Lepisosteus oculatus: one gene and its partner. The protein of the gene in region 1 interacts with the protein of each later gene in a biochemical or structural test. Links are inferred from orthologs where the notes say so. Each region holds a gene or a part of one and is shown on either strand. Other genes may lie near its edges. The genes, in order: fyb1 and skap1.

Region 1 (8,022 bases):
GATAATACGTTTATCACTTGAACTGCTCTGTTTCTCTCTATATTTCACTGTTCTTACATTAAGTAAACTTGTCTTTGTGAAGCGTTTCTTGTACAGATTCCTTATCAGCCTTTGTTTGTGGCATTTAATTAGAATACTAAGCACTGAGCATCTGATTTCTTTTTGAAATCGCATGACTTGAGCTCAGCAGTTTCTTACTCCACAAAATGATACTAATCAAACAATCAACAAAACGTTTTGCTCACAATTTAAGATGGAAATAATGTGTGGGTACAATTGAGCTACTGATATACAAGACTGTTGTGTTCTTATCGTGCAGTAGTACACAGCTGAACCAGTAATCAGATCAATTGAGAACTGAAGATAGTGTACAGTACCAATTAAAAGACCCCTGTGGATCTCCAAAAACATACTGTAGTGATTTTTGGTTTGGTTTGTTGAAGTAAAATTCTCAATGGAAACGAACATGTCAGGAAGTTGACAAGCATTGGCAGTACTGTATGTTTGCCGTTGCTGTAACAAAAGGAGATCACTTGTGCAATAAAATAACTTCTCTTTAACAAAGTGATAATTTGCTGTTTTCCATTTAAGAACATTTGTCGAGCAATGTCAGAATAGTTTCTTGTTCTTGATGTAGGGTATTACGTTGTTTATAAGCCCAGTGTGTGTTTTATATATCTAGACACCTATGACAATAAGCAGCTGTGACATCATAACAGGTAGTTGTTCTCTTTATCTGGCTCATCTATCTGTGTTTCCTGGTCTCCAATCAGTCCCATTCAAATGAAGAATTTAAATTAATATACCGTATGTTCAAATGCTCCTTTAGAGAGGTGTATGCCCAATCTGCTTTCTTTTTCCATAGTTAAAGCACAGCGTGCAAGAAAATCCTTAAATTGAGAACACTGGCGTTCGTATTTTCCTGTGCACTAATGTATGTAACTAAGCAGCGGTCCATTGTTCACGATAAAACAAAGAGCAGGCACAGGCAGACAAACGGGTAAGTAACAGGTGGCTGTAGCGAACGAAACACAGTCCAGAATCATAGTCAGTGAAGAAGCCCAGTTCAACGCTGGAGAAACACAATGAAGGCACAAATGAACTACTGTACGCGAAAGCTGAGGTCCAATTAAGCTATTCAGGTTTGTAGCCATATGTAACAGCATTGAACATGCAATCAGTATTATTCAATTTTTCTTTAATATTAATTATCTATTTACTTCCTTCTTTTACTTTTTTGCTTTGTGGAGTAGTGTAAAGTCAGTTGTGTATCTAACACCTATTGAAAGTTCCTGACTGCAAGCTTTAAAGCAACAAAAGGTGATCACTTTGTTAGGCACTGTAGAAAATGTCTACAGACTTGTTAACAGGGGAGGGACGAGCATCTTAAGAAACGATTCCTGTAGAAAGTAGCAAATAGTGCTAAAGAAGAGAAACACCTCACAATGAGTCAATTAGATTTGATTGCAAAATGTGATGAATTAGGTTTTATCACTTGCTCGTGTCTAGTTTATCTTGAAACGTTCTACTTAGGGTTTTGAATATACTACTTGATGTGAAGTAAAAACTGGATGACGAGTTTCTTCTCACACAAAGCAAGCTGTATTAATAACAGTACAACTTGTTATAATAGTAAAGAAATTAGTGGAGGCTTTGAGTAGTTTGTGATGATGATAACATGCTCATACTGCAACCCCTGACTGTGTTTAAGATGTCTAAGGTATTTCTACAGTATATGCAGTAAATACCCTTTTTAAATTCATTGGTTTGTGACATCTATTGTACTGTCCAGGAAATTCCATCTTTAAGCAGTTCTCACAATGTCTGCATTTTCAAAGCAGCTTTCCCTTGTAAAATTTTCAAGACTTAGACAACATAGATGTAGTATTCAGTCCCTATTTATAGAGCTTATCTCATATCAGTGCATGTGTTGCATAAGACCTTTGACAAGCACATTGTCCCCTCTGATGTTAGAGAACCGAAACTTGTGTTTTATATCACTTCATGTACAGTACTAGCTTTCCAGCAGTACTTTATTTTGTTGCTCACAGTGGAGCTCACAGTGATCATGGAGCATGTTAAAAAGTTTTTTTTCTTATATGCAACTTTTGATATCCCCCCGAGGGAATCATGTGGCCTGAAGTCCTTTTATCTGTGCAAGGGCCGAGTGTGAGAGGCAGAATGATAAAATCTCACGGCACTATAAAGAAATAAACATTAATTATCATATAATACACATTCTATTATATTATTGGAGTTCACTGGAGTTAATGTTCAGCTTCTTATGGAAACACTCACATACACCATTCAGGGTATTTGATCATCTCCTTACTATCAGAGCAAAATTAAAAATGCTCTAAGCATGCCAACTGTTGTTAACTGGAAAAATCTGCAAGAATTATACACTGTACATGTATCTTAGCCTATGTATAAGTAGTATAAAAGGTATGGAGCAAAAAACCTTTGTTAAAGAATCAAAGACTGCTAATCTTTGATCAATTGAACACACCTGATATGACATGAAGCCACCAAATAAATTTATACCTGACACACTATCTCAACAGTTTGTTGACCCTGGAATCCATCTGAAATCACAATGGTTTCTCGGCTGCATAATTTACTGTTATTAATTCGTTTCCTTTGCTGCTACAACCATTTGCTGAGCAAGGGTGTGATGAAGACTCTTTCCACGATGCAAGAGCATGGCACAGGCTGCAAAGCTTGTGGAAGAAATTGTGCTACAGCAGTGGGAGCAGTAGCCTGCTGTTCAATGATATCACATGAGCTCTTTAGCATGTTCCATTATCAATAGGATTGTCATTATCAATACGCTTTTGTGGTAGTAGAAGTACCCCAGTTTAAAGAGGCAACTTGGGTGCTATTCATACACACACCATAACTACAGGACCTGTAAGATGTGATATGTCACATTGTATCACCTAGGGCGGGAGCACAGACGCAACAGTACTGCCACCACCAGTACGATGAGTGAAGCAGTGAAGTGTTTGAAAAGAAGTTCCTTTCAACTGCTCAGCATTTTTCAGCTTCTCTCTTCCTCTTTTGTTTGCTTATGTCTGTGTTTTTCTTTTCCTTTGGTCTGGGAATGAAACCCCCCCCCCAGCTGCTGAGGCCGAACTCATTGTCACCTTAGTTTCCCTTACAGGAAAATTCTTGTTGGACTCCACTTGTCTTTTAGAGAAGTGACAAACCCTGATGAGTTGAATAGCCTTTTGTAAACTTTCTCAGGTTCTCAGTGAGATACAAATGTTTTACTCTTGATGCCAATGGCACCTGAGAGCTCCCACATTCTGCCATTCAGTGAGCCAGAACTCACCTGTGTTCACTTTAGATTCCAGAAAGCCATGCACCTGAGAAACTACTGTATATCAGATATTCCAGACATCAGTTTAGATTATTTAGATTAGGTTTGACTCAATCTTTACCAATTGTCTGATCGTGTGAGCTGTAAGAGCTCTTAACACAACTAAGAAGACAAAGTATCTACCTGCTAAACCCTTTCCAATAGGGCGGTGTTATATTATATGGGTCTTTGTACAGTATATTTTATCAAAGGACAGCAGTACCACTAAATTTACACTACAACGCAAACAAGCCTACATGTTTTAATTGATCTGTTTTAGGTATAGAAATATCAATTTGTTCATAGGCTTAAAATTTCATGTAAGCATTTTTTCTGTGATGTTTATTTTTATTCTGATGTTATTTTCTGCCAGGGGAATTTGTGTCTGGTTCCTGCATGTGGTCTGAGCTTCCTTGTTTCTTTCATCACTGTGCAATTTAGATACTGTGCTACTAAGAATGTGTCGTGAAATGGCAGAAACTTCACAGAGAGTCTGGATTTCAGATCAGACTGTGACCAACTGTGCTGTGTAATTTTTTTCATGATCACCTGCGCTGCTCAACAGCTTCAGTTGTATTTATTTATTTCACGTGGGTTCTAAAAATCCCACACACATTTAGGTAGCTCACTAAAAATGATAATACAAAGTTTCTACCTGAACGATCAACATTGCAAAAAAATTAGTTATTGTCATGATACAAAGAAAACTTTCAATCACAAATCAATATGTAACTGGTCAGGCTTCAGCTCTCAGGTTAGGGCAAGTTCAGAAGCATGATATATAAAATATACAGTGAAATATAAGCCACCTTTGTGTATCCTTTCCTGAAATGCAATAACCCAATTAAGATAAAACCTGCAAAATTCTGGAAGGGAAGAGTAACTCCTGAAGTTACAACACTGTGACATTGGAGGAATTAAAACTGATGCATTGTAACAGGAGTCCTTCAGTGAGTTATGCCCCCTGTTGCAAAAGAAGTTGAAATATAGTCTGACAGAAACACAGCTGCAAAGGGAAATCTCTACGATACCTGAAAAGGTCTCAGCAGTTTTTGCACATAATCCAGCTATAGTCCAGCCATCTAATCCATTATTAATATATAACCTATTATAATATATATATATAATATAATCCAGCTATAAGATGGAATCGGAAAGGAAAAGGATACCGTGTGTCCCTGCAAGTGCTGTCTCCTTCCTCTAGGTGGCACCACAACCTTACTGTTCATAGTACAACATTTAAAAGTACAATGACTCTGAGGTCTATGATCTTTAGAAACCAGAGATAAGAGGGGTAAATAATAATTGACTGTCCTAAGCTGGGAAGTTTAAAAAGAGAAAACTAAACTTTGTGATTTTTTTGTTTAAAACATATTCTCGGGTCTACGTTCAACAGTAACATTGAGACTCTTGGAAGCACAGTTTTCTTCTGAAGTTTGTTGAGAATAAGACGTTAATGGAGCAGGTTAGTGTATCATGTTTTTGGGTTACTTTTTACTTATTGTGCTAAAGAAACACCCCTGCAAGATGGGCTTTGTAAAGACTCCAAGCTTTGTTGGTAGGGGGTAGATGTGGAGAAATCGCCAAATCATCCTCTTCCACAGTTCCAGTCGAGGCTGTGCATTTGTCACATTTTATATCTTCAGCTGGAAGCTACTTAACAAGCTGTTATTAAACAGTACATACATTGTCGGTCTTTGATCAGTTCAATTATTCAGCAAGTGGTTTCCTGATTCCATGATTTTATTATACTGTAAGCCTGATGAACCCTAATCATATGGCTTTCAATCTTCTGTTTCTTAGATTTTTGGTATTGGTTTATTATTGCCTTTTGGTCATGGTCGAAAGTCAAATTACAGATTGTGTAAAATAGACAATATCCTTACTTGAAGAGCATATCAGGCGAGTATTCTGTTGTAACTGGTACATTTTTCTGTCGTTCTAAGGCTTTCATTGAACATATCCATTCACAACTGCAATCATTCCTCATAAGGAGAAGAGTATTTTCCAGAAAGTTACCTTAATACATACATTGATAGCACCTTGTAGCCTGATCCTGTCAGATCTCGGAAACTAAGCAAGGTCCGGCCTGCACTGGGACAGAAGACACCAGGTTACTGTGATATTGGTGAACCAATAGTGGGAGCTCTTCCCTCTGCCAGATGATCAAAACTAATAACAGCAATGGCGACTAGGGATTAGTGATGTACAGTAGGAGGTGCCATCCATTTAATGAGACTTCAAATCCAGGTCTTGGCAATGTTTATGAAAACCCAGGAGTTAATCCCCTTTCCCTGGCTAAATTCCACTCTGGACTGGTACAATCTGGCCTTCTCTTAAATTTCCCCTTAGTTCAATCGGAGAAGCATTTTCTCATGTCTCTGAATGATCTGCTGTGCAGTGGGGCTGCTTCTGCAGAACAGCTGCCACATATCACCCAGGTGATATATGAACTTGAGAGCTGAACTTGATAGGGGAATGAAGAAGCTACCCTTCTGTGTGACAAGAGCATTGGCATCCTGTGGGATAAAATGACATTTGAAAGTTTATTATTAATATTACTGACAATAATAATAAGAAGAAAATAAAAATACAGTGTGTTCATAGACTCACATACACTAGTACAGCTCTCACCAATTAAACTGTCTTAGGCTAAAATGGTCCCTCGCTTTCACAAGGCAGTCTTGCCAGTCTCTGCAGTGTTCAGTGTCCAGTTTTCAGTGCCACACCAGAATAAACCTCACTGAGCATACTGCAGGTACTGTAATTGTGTCTACAATGTGACATGGCCCAGGAACTGGCAAATGAGTGAGTACTCAAAATACTTATGCCCCTTAATGTCTGCAGCACGATTCAATGGGACAAATTTGAAATCTTGCTCACTTTGTACAGACCAAAAGTAAGAAATGCCTAACTAAAACCAAGGATTTGTTGAATTCCTCTTCCTGTGCTGCTTTGTTTTTTTGTCATTTACGAGAACTATGTGAAACTGTATCCTGTGTGAAATAGTGATGTTAGCAATAGTTTCACCACTTGAGCCAACTTCCCTAAACATGAATTTGCAGGCACACGCTAATAGCAAGCAGAGGAGCTGTTTTTCCTGATCTTGTTGTCATTAGTAAGTACAAACGTTTTGCTATTTTGTAGGGATTCAGGAATTATTAACATTACCATTCCTCAAATATGTGTGCATAAGTTAATATATGAAATGTTGTTGTACCAATAGTTTTATTTTTCTGTTTTGTGCTCAATGAAAATCATTCTAATAATTATTTGGTTTTAAACAATCCAGTGTTTACCAGCTCTAGTGACATGAGACTAGTTTGGATTGATTTTTTATTGTTTTCACCAGGAGCTCTAAGTTTAACTTAAGCTTGAGAAAGTTGCGAGAACTGTATTATATGGACTTCTGTGAAAACACACTGTTTAAAAATGACAACACTGTACAATGGCTTAGTATTTCTGCCTAAAGTTTCTGTGCTGAACTGTCAATACATTTTATTTAATCCAATCAATTAATTATTTATGTCCCTCAGGAATAGAGCATCTTAACAGCTGCTTATGGGTTTTATTGCATCAAAAGCCTCACACCAGAGATCAGGTGTATAAGATATTTAAGCTTGGCAGGTAATCATATAGAGATCAGGTGTATAAGAGTGTTCAGATGGCCAGATAACCATTGAGAGATCAGGTGTATAAGAGTGTTCAACTGTCCAGTTAACCATTGAGAGATTGGGTGTATAAGAGTTGTTGGCTGGCCAGGTAACCATGAGCGATCAGGTGTATAAGAGCTGTAACACTGTCGGATCCCTGATGTGCACAGAAACAGATTAAAACAGCTGACAGAAGTAAGGAAGAGGAATAATGAAAGAATGTCATTTCTTTCAATATTGAGAAACATGTCATTTCTGTACATACTGCATCACGTATGGTGATGAAATATAATTTTTCGGTCGTTGATTGGCTGTATTTCTTCACCTTGGAGAGTGACACAGCAGAGTGTTAAACAAGTAATAATTTTGATTGCTGCCCCAACACTGTACAGTTCAGAACTTGTCAATTACATCTCTTTGCTGTCTCCATAGGGGTAATTACTTTTGCTATAAAACTGTAGTTTTTTTTATCTGATTCAGCCTGGGGGACAAACAAAAATTGGGGCCTGTCCTATTTAATGTTTGTCACACGTGACACATTTTGTTATGTCAGTTCTCATTCAGTTGCTCGCAATCTAAAAGATTCTTATTAGAAGTTGGTCTTTTTAATTTTGCAGGAGAGTCGCACATGCCCTCTCCTGTCTTGTTGGAGGTCATCTTAAAGTCTGTCCCAGCACTTACATTTCACACTGCTGTTTTATTCCATTCAGAAATAACATTCTCTTGTTTGGTTAGTCATATAGCAGAGATGCACAATACGAAATAACTACCCTTTATCAACCTTAGCAGTTTTATTTAAGTTTTTGACAACTTTAATCAAATTTCCTCTTGGCTGTTCTTTACTGAGTGTGAAAAGAGTGCAGTTTTTGTAACAGAACGGCAGGCTCATTATTAATGTTCACTTGTAAAATATATTCATGATTACTAGAAGAATTAATAAACATTGCAGAAGCTGTATTCATAAGGATTTACACAAACTATAGGACTGGAAAAACACCTGGCTGTTTT
Region 2 (7,596 bases), on another chromosome or scaffold:
TGCTCCTGTTATGCCCCCAAGCTCTGGAACTCTCTCCCCAAGGATATCAGAGTCACCTTCTCTAAACTCCTTCAAATCCAGACTCAAAACCCTCTTCTTCAGAAAAGCCTTTACTTAACTGGTTCCATTCTTCACCCCTCTGCTTTTCTTAGTACCACCATCCACGGTCTCCTCTGTGTATTGTCATTGTGTTTTATCTTGTGTATTCTTCTTATTTATTGTTGTTATCATTCTGTAAAGCGCTTTGAAATGCCACCTTTAAAGGCGCTATATAAAATAAGTTTATTATAATTATTATTATTATTATTATTATTATTATTATTACTAGCACTCCAAGGAGGTGGGTAAGCCCACGTTGCTCAAATCAGCGATCAATTTGTCCACTTAGCTCAGGTGTTGAACCCCTCAGGTTCTGGAAGGCAGTACAGTCAGTTTCGCTGCCCCGCGTCTCTGAATTACTTCATTAAGCAAATGACCTTCCTGCTGCAGCCTTTAGAAACCAGTGCTTTAAGATAAGAATGGACAACTTCGGTCTTCAAGGGCCAGGGGTCTTCGGGATTTACTGGTACATCCCAATCAGCAACTTATCAAAATGTAAAACAATCAGGGTTTGTGACTTATACTCATAATGTGTTCATTTACGATCAGAGACAGAAAGAAAAGCTGAGTGCCCTGCTCTAAGTAAAGAGCTTCAGTGCAGCAGAAATGTATGTTCACTCCCAAACAATTAGCGCTTCAACAATTTTAATTTTAAAGTTTTAAAGTTAAAAGCGCAGATTCGTAAACTTATAAAGCAGGTTTTTAACAAATCAGCTGGGATCCCAAGCTTTTTCGATGTGCTGCATGTTTCAACTCCCCTCCCCCTCACCAATGCAGAATTTATGGTCTCAAACTGAACAACTCAGTGAGTCTTCACACGCATCTCTCCTACCCAGCAAGCAGCACATATTCGACAACAGAGAAGAATTTCTCAGGTGCATCCTCTGTGCTGGGGCTTTCCAAAGTAAGTGAGGAGCGAACCACGTTCTTCCTGCACGACAAATTTACAAAAATAATTTTGCTAGGAAGCACCAAGTCAAATCCAAAGACGGTCAGTTTACATTTACATTCATGTCTCTACAGCCCTGCCCATCAGAAAAAGCTGTGTAAACCTTACAACCTCGGTGTGATCTTTTACACATACAGCTGATGCTCACCATTCAAATCCCCTCTCACTCTGTAGACCACCTACTTTGTATCCTTTGACAAAAAAAAAAGACTTTCCTCCCCATCTCCTTGTTCTTGCCCAAGCTGGCCACATCTTCATGCCCACCACTGGGTAATCAAACACTGCTTTATTGCATTCGCGGGATTGTAGCATCTTGAAAGATCGCTAAGCAACTCTCATGCAGGAGGGGGACCCAGTTTGTCTGCCACCACATTGCAGCCCCACCTGGGTGCCGCAAGCAGCCCCCACAGCACACTAGAGCAAGGGGAGGAGTGCAAAACTGCTGCACCAGTTGCATTAAGACGGAACTCTAAGGAGGTCAGATTGTACAGCAGTGGAAATCGGCCAGGACTACATTAACACCCCCATATTCTGGCATGAGGTTGCAACACTAAGTAGTTAGGCCTGGATTCAAAACTCTCATCCAAATGATATCTAGTGGAACGAGGCCTTTTACAGTAGACAAAACCTTGAAAGCCAATTAAAAAACATTACAAAATTACACCGAATGTACACATGCAAACGTCAGGGTTTGTTTTGTTTTGTTACAGTACGTATCTGACAGGGTGTTATCCATGCCCGTTGACCTATGCAAATACTTGTCAAAGGACTGATACACATTGTTCCGGAAATGCAAATCATCGCCTGCAATCCAAAACTCACATTTGCGCCTTTTAATTCCAGGCCAGTTTCAGTCCTCACCCATTTAAAGCCATTTTTGCACATGCCAATTTGGATAAATTCCAGTACATACACACGAGTACCCAGGTGTTCGAGGTCCCCTCTCTCTCTCATTCTTATGCTGTAACAGTATTTAAGCGTGCTTTTGAAATACAAAGGGGGAAACAAAAACACGATTCGGAGAGAAATTCACAAGCACAGCCCATACAAGCACCAACTCAAGCAGATGGGTTAAATGGTACCCGAGCCGCGCCCCGACTACATCAGCCGCCATCGGACTCCTTGTGACGCCCTTGAAAACTCCCAAGCAGCCCAAATTCAGCTACTTTCCCCATGAAGAGGCACCAGCCTTCAGACTCTGAAAGAACAAACTTCAGGGGTCTGTAAAACTACAGATTCACGACTCGAGGGAGCGCCTTTCGTCTGTCCTAGGCCGCTTTTGACCGGTGTCCTGCGGCTGGGGCCGCTATCCTCCCTAGTAGAAAACGTTATACTTTAAAAAAAAATGATTTCCCAAAAGCGTCAGGAGCGGGTGGCCACAAAATGGGAATCCTACAGCTTTGTAGGGGTGCACCCGTGACAGTGAATGGGTTCTCATCCCGGTGCTAACGACGCTTTCCTGGCCTAATTCGGCGCGTCCAGGCTACCACGCCACCAGCGTCGCCAGTACGATCAACCCAGCGTCGCCACAACGCATTTCTTTCAAAGAGGGAGCCTAGACTGGCACCGCCAGCAGATAGCAGATCAAATGAGCAGTCCTTAGTCATTCTCTGTTGCTGCTGGGTTTTTTAATTTAACGACGAGTCCAGCGGGACAGAGCTGAATCCTCCAGTGTTTCCCAAGCCGCTCATGTGAAATTCTCAGGGATATCTACAGGTTACATTTAAACTTTAAAAAAAAAAAAAGGTCAGTGAACGAAAGCTGAAAGTTACCTTCGAGAAGTCTTTTAATGTCTGCGGGGACGACGTCCATGCTTGCGCGTCCTTGCTCCACCTGATGCGGAGAGGTGTTGCGGTCCAGGTCGAGCAGGGCAGGCGAGCGCTCGCACTCGGCGACGGGGGAGAACGAGCCTGACCTCCACCTCTCCACCTCCGCCGGTGAGCGCGCCCGGGGCGGGGGCGCGGGCGCGCACACGCGCAGGCACCTGCCAGCCCCGCAGAACTGAAATTGAAAGCGGGCGCGCGTGGGTCGGGTTTAGTCAGAAAAAAAAAACTCCCTCGCGCTTCAGCTCCGTGCACAGGGTGTCTCGGGTTCACCCCCCCCCCAGCTGCAGAAAAAGTAGCAAGCGTACTTCTCGTGTTGTTGCTTCGTACAGATGCTATGAATCGTAAAAACGAGCACTTTAAGATACAGCTGTTGAGATGTTAAAATGTGAACTTGAAAAGCGTGCATTTTACTTTACTGCTTTGCGCGCCGATTAATTCATAAACACAGTTACATAAGCCTCCCAGAGATTCAGCTGCTACACCTCCTCCTAGCAGACATTAAATCATAGGTTTTGATTCTGGGGGAGGATGACGGGGGGAGGGGGGGGCGTTGCGTCACTCTTTTATATATTTATTCTCTGAAAGGGTCGGAGTTGCCGTTTGAGAGACAACTGTTAACGCTCGAGTGCTTCCTGATGAGAGACTTAGAGACGTGATTTCCAGATTTGGAAAAAAAACAAAACAAAACAATCTTTTCTTTCCCCAGCTGAGCGCGAAGTCCGGGGGGCCTGTCGCGGCGCGCTGACAGACTCCTGGCTTCATCCGCGCCTCCGAATTAATTCCCGGGCGCGCCCGAGTTTGAATCCTTGAACGTGCGGCCCCCACCTGGGTGATGCGCCAGTCCGCTCCCCCACACACCCGCTCTCAGTGGGGAGGAGAGCAGAGGGATGAAGCCCGTTCAGAGAGGGGGGTTCGAATCGTCAGAACTTGAGGGGTGAATACAGACCCTGCCGAAAGGTGAAGATGAAGACGAAAATGATGTGTTAACATGAACATGTCATCTTTTTTTCACAAGCTGCTTCCTACGAAGTGTTTTCCATGAAATATGTATGTTTTTACCTGCAACTATGGCCATTAAAGTTATTAGTTTGGGATTTTGTAACAGTCTTTTTGTAGATGCCCTTTGCAACTCCTACAGTGCTTGTTAATCCTTTTTTGACATCATCTGCGAACTTGACCAATTTGTTATTCACACCAGAGTCCAGGTCAGTGACAGAAATTAGAAACCTCAGTGGTCCAAATACAGACCCCTGCGCTGCTCTGCTAATCATATCACCCCTGTTTGAGCATGTACCCTTTTGTACTCTGCATATTAACCAGTTCTCTATCCCAATACATAATCTTGAAGGCTTACCACCTTATATTTTTCTGAATAACTGCATCAAAAGACTTCTGGCAATCTTGAATATATACACCATATATTTTGATCTGATTGTATAAGGGGTTTGAGAACATGTGCTGTAGATTGCTAGTCTTAAAGTGATGTGGATTTTTTCTCTCCTGAATGGCCAGAGACACGATGCGGTGTTGCAGCTACTGGTGTTTCTGTAACCTGAAATGGGGGGGGAATCGAGCCTTTTCCGGCCCCCAGATGGGAATCAGCAGTGGGATCAGTGGGATTGATGGGATGGGCTCAGTGTCACCCAAGGGACAAGGTCCTGGCATGTGTGCCCAGTGAATCCCAGCTGTGGTCCCACAGTTCCAGTCCTGCGGGGCTCCTCACCTGTCTGTGACCCATCAAGACCACGAGCAGCAGGCCCAGGCGTTGTAGGGAGTGTGTAATTCAATTCCTTAAGCACCTGAGGCGGAGAGACATCCAGGTCTGGAAAAGTTATAGACACAGGAGGGCCTGAGCCAGCACCATCCAAGACATTGTATTTTAGGATTCATTGTCTTAAAGGTCCTCTTTATGAATGATTAATCTGCTCCCTAACTAGACAGGAGTTCCTCAGGGTTACCAGTCCTTGAGCATTTTGGGAACCCCAATGAGCCCTGCACACCGTTTCCCCAAACTGTGAAGGGGGAGAGACCCCCTTGCTTGCTTGCAAGGCGGTTTTCTGCACAGAAAACTACTTTTGGTTTTACAATACTCTAAATACTAAATACTAAAAATGCCTGTACATCAGTGGAAGTGAAGCCTAATAGGTAATTCTAATCGCAGTACTTTACATAAATTGTCTGTGATAAAAAAAAACGGAGGTATTTTCCAGTTCAGCTTGCATAGGAGCTACAACGGATTAACTTGAACGTTTTTTCTTTACAAATCTAAGGTGGTGCTGCTCGCTTTGGGGCAAAATCTTAATCTCCTCCTCACTCAACGCTCAATCTATTACAGGCGAACTGTGCGGTCCTGTCACAGGCGGGAGCTTTTCCTTGTCAATTCGATGTTGTCATACACATGGTAACGACGGCAACGACAATAATGGCGGTAGTAGCCTATAATGGCGTTGCCTTCCATTTTAATACCCGTAATTAAAAGTAATCCTAGCTGTATAAACCTCCTTCCTTCTTCAGACATGCTGCGGCACATCACACGCGGTAAAATGGGCGCAAGTGACTAATGAGTAATATCTCAGCTCTGGATATCGCTCACTTAAACACAGATTAGCTGCTGAAGGCGTATCTTTACGTCAACAGAATTATCGCGCTTTCAGCTCCTGTCTCAATTATTGTCTCAGCCCTTTGATAAAACAGTGTGTTTAACAAATGTTAGCTAACCTTTCGAGGCCTTGGTGCAGCGAACGGTTGCCTCTCATCTCGACTCGCTCGGTTCTGCCCACCCCGGGGCTGGCCGTGGCGTACCCCAGGCCGGGATACCCCGCAGGCCCGCGGGCCGGGTGCCCGAGAGGGGAGCCGGCGGTGACACTACCCATGGCGATATGTTATCTGTTCTCCATCCATGCACCTATACCGTGTGCTTTCCAGCGTTTTAATGCATATTTAATGTGCTTAGACGTTGTCTGAGGCGCTGGGCAACGTGAAAGGCATCTTTTTGAAACATTGCTTTTTTTTTATTATCGGTAATAAGTACCAGTAGCAGCAGTAATAAATCTGAAATCGGCGGCACGGTTTATTTTAGTGCGAAAAGCTGACTGTTTTCCGCCTCGGCGCGGATATAGCCCGGCCCCGCTACCCGAACCAGAATTTCAGAATCGCTGTCAAATCACCGGAAGACGCGTGATTAAAACACGAACGGGGTGGTTTAATTAACGCGACTTCATTTTCTATCGCGCTGCACAGCGCCCGAGTCCATCCTTTAAGGTAATGAAATCATTTGTTTTAAGCTCACGTTAAGCTGCTGGGTAATTAAATGAGACGCCGATGACTGGGCGCTAATGAAGTTTTAGCCCCACAGGTTACGGATTAAGCTCCACGCCAAAGCGGGCACAGGGTGGGGGGGTGGAGCAGGTCTGCTGCTGCCCACGCCACGGCGCACAGGAGCTCACTCGTCACCCGGGTCGTGGGTCCTCCATAGACACAGAAGCCAGTTAGTTTGTGAAGAATATATACATGTTAATGAAAGGTCTTCTGCATTCGCCATCACCTCTGCCTCACCCTGTCACCTGACCCAGACACACAGGCCAGGAGGAAGATGAAAGCAGCGTGAGCATTTTAATCATAATTCAGAAATGTGTCACAGTCACAGTCTAGAACGACATCCTTGCTGTTTCCTAACGCAGCAGGTGACCGTGTCCAGTTCAGGAGGCCTCAACGCACAGTTCAAAATAGCTCAGCTTGTCTGGTGATGGGGCCCCTTCCTTTAGCTCGGACACATCGCACATAAACCTTTAAAATCCTTCTCTGCACAAACACATTGAGTATATATGTATATTTCACCCCCTATCTTCTGAAAATAAAGCATGTGGGTTATTTTCGGTGCCGGCCGAGCTCGGAAAGTTTCTCCTCGGAAACCCAGGTTAGGTGGAAGCTGTTGCCATGGTGACCCGAGCGGGACGCCGTGATTGGCTGCCTGGGCGGCCCAGGTGAACACCGGACGCAGCCGCTCAGAGCAGGCGGCGGGAGAGGCCCAGGTGGCCCAGATGCCGTCTCTCTGCTGTGAGAGGGCAGAAGAGGCTCTTGCCTGGCGATAAGGCCTCCTCGGGCCTGGCTGGACGCGGGCCGATAAGGAAGGAATGGGTCAGTCTGGGGGGGAGGGTCAAGACACGCAGACGTCCCGCCCAGGCTGATGGGAGAGCTGGCGCTCTTTCAGACGCGCTCCAGTGGGCCCGAGCAGGAGTCCCGAGGCTCGTGCCAGGGAGGCTGGGCTTCAGTCCTCCTAGGGCGTCCTCATTTCGCATAGGCCGGTGCCCTGCTGTAGCTGCGAACCTGCATCTGGATCAGGGTCAGGACTCCAGTCGGGCCTGGGGCGGCCAGTCCCAATCAGGGCTCGCCTGGAAGCTCTGGGTTTACTATCTGCGCTGCTGGCACAGACCCTGCAGTCGTCAGCGGCAGAAAACAACGCTCACAGACAGCCGTAGATCAGTGGCTGCCTGGGTGACTCTCAGGCTGAATGTCCAGGGCAGGCTAGTGATGACTGTCTGTGGCTGAAGGCTGCCGGGATCTCATTCGGGCGCCCTGCAAGACGGGAAGTGTGAAGTACACCGCCGGCCCCACTAGGGGGCGACCGTTGCTGTCTCTGGCCGGAGAGCTGTTCTGAAGTGCAGAGGAAATTCTGGCTCTGGTTACAGCGCAGGCGAGCTCTTAAAGGGGCCGCCGATCTAT

The links.
Region 2: the proteins of fyb1 (region 1) and skap1 form a complex in vitro, tested with the Homo sapiens proteins (2 studies listed by BioGRID and IntAct, with this or other methods). The link is inferred for Lepisosteus oculatus from reciprocal best matches to the Homo sapiens genes FYB1 and SKAP1.

The regions. Positions count from the first base shown.
Region 1 is NC_090698.1:16,135,964-16,143,985, reverse strand, and holds the start of fyb1 (FYN-binding protein 1), read left to right. Parts: upstream 1-4,718; 5' UTR 4,719-4,817; coding exon 4,818-4,826; intron 4,827-6,400; exon of another isoform or gene 6,401-6,479; intron 6,480-8,022. UniProt on the Homo sapiens protein: Acts as an adapter protein of the FYN and LCP2 signaling cascades in T-cells. May play a role in linking T-cell signaling to remodeling of the actin cytoskeleton. Modulates the expression of IL2. Involved in platelet activation.
Region 2 is NC_090723.1:9,185,344-9,192,939, forward strand, and holds the start of skap1 (src kinase-associated phosphoprotein 1), read right to left. Parts: upstream 3,105-7,596; 5' UTR 2,861-3,104; coding exon 2,821-2,860; intron 1-2,820. UniProt on the Homo sapiens protein: Positively regulates T-cell receptor signaling by enhancing the MAP kinase pathway. Required for optimal conjugation between T-cells and antigen-presenting cells by promoting the clustering of integrin ITGAL on the surface of T-cells.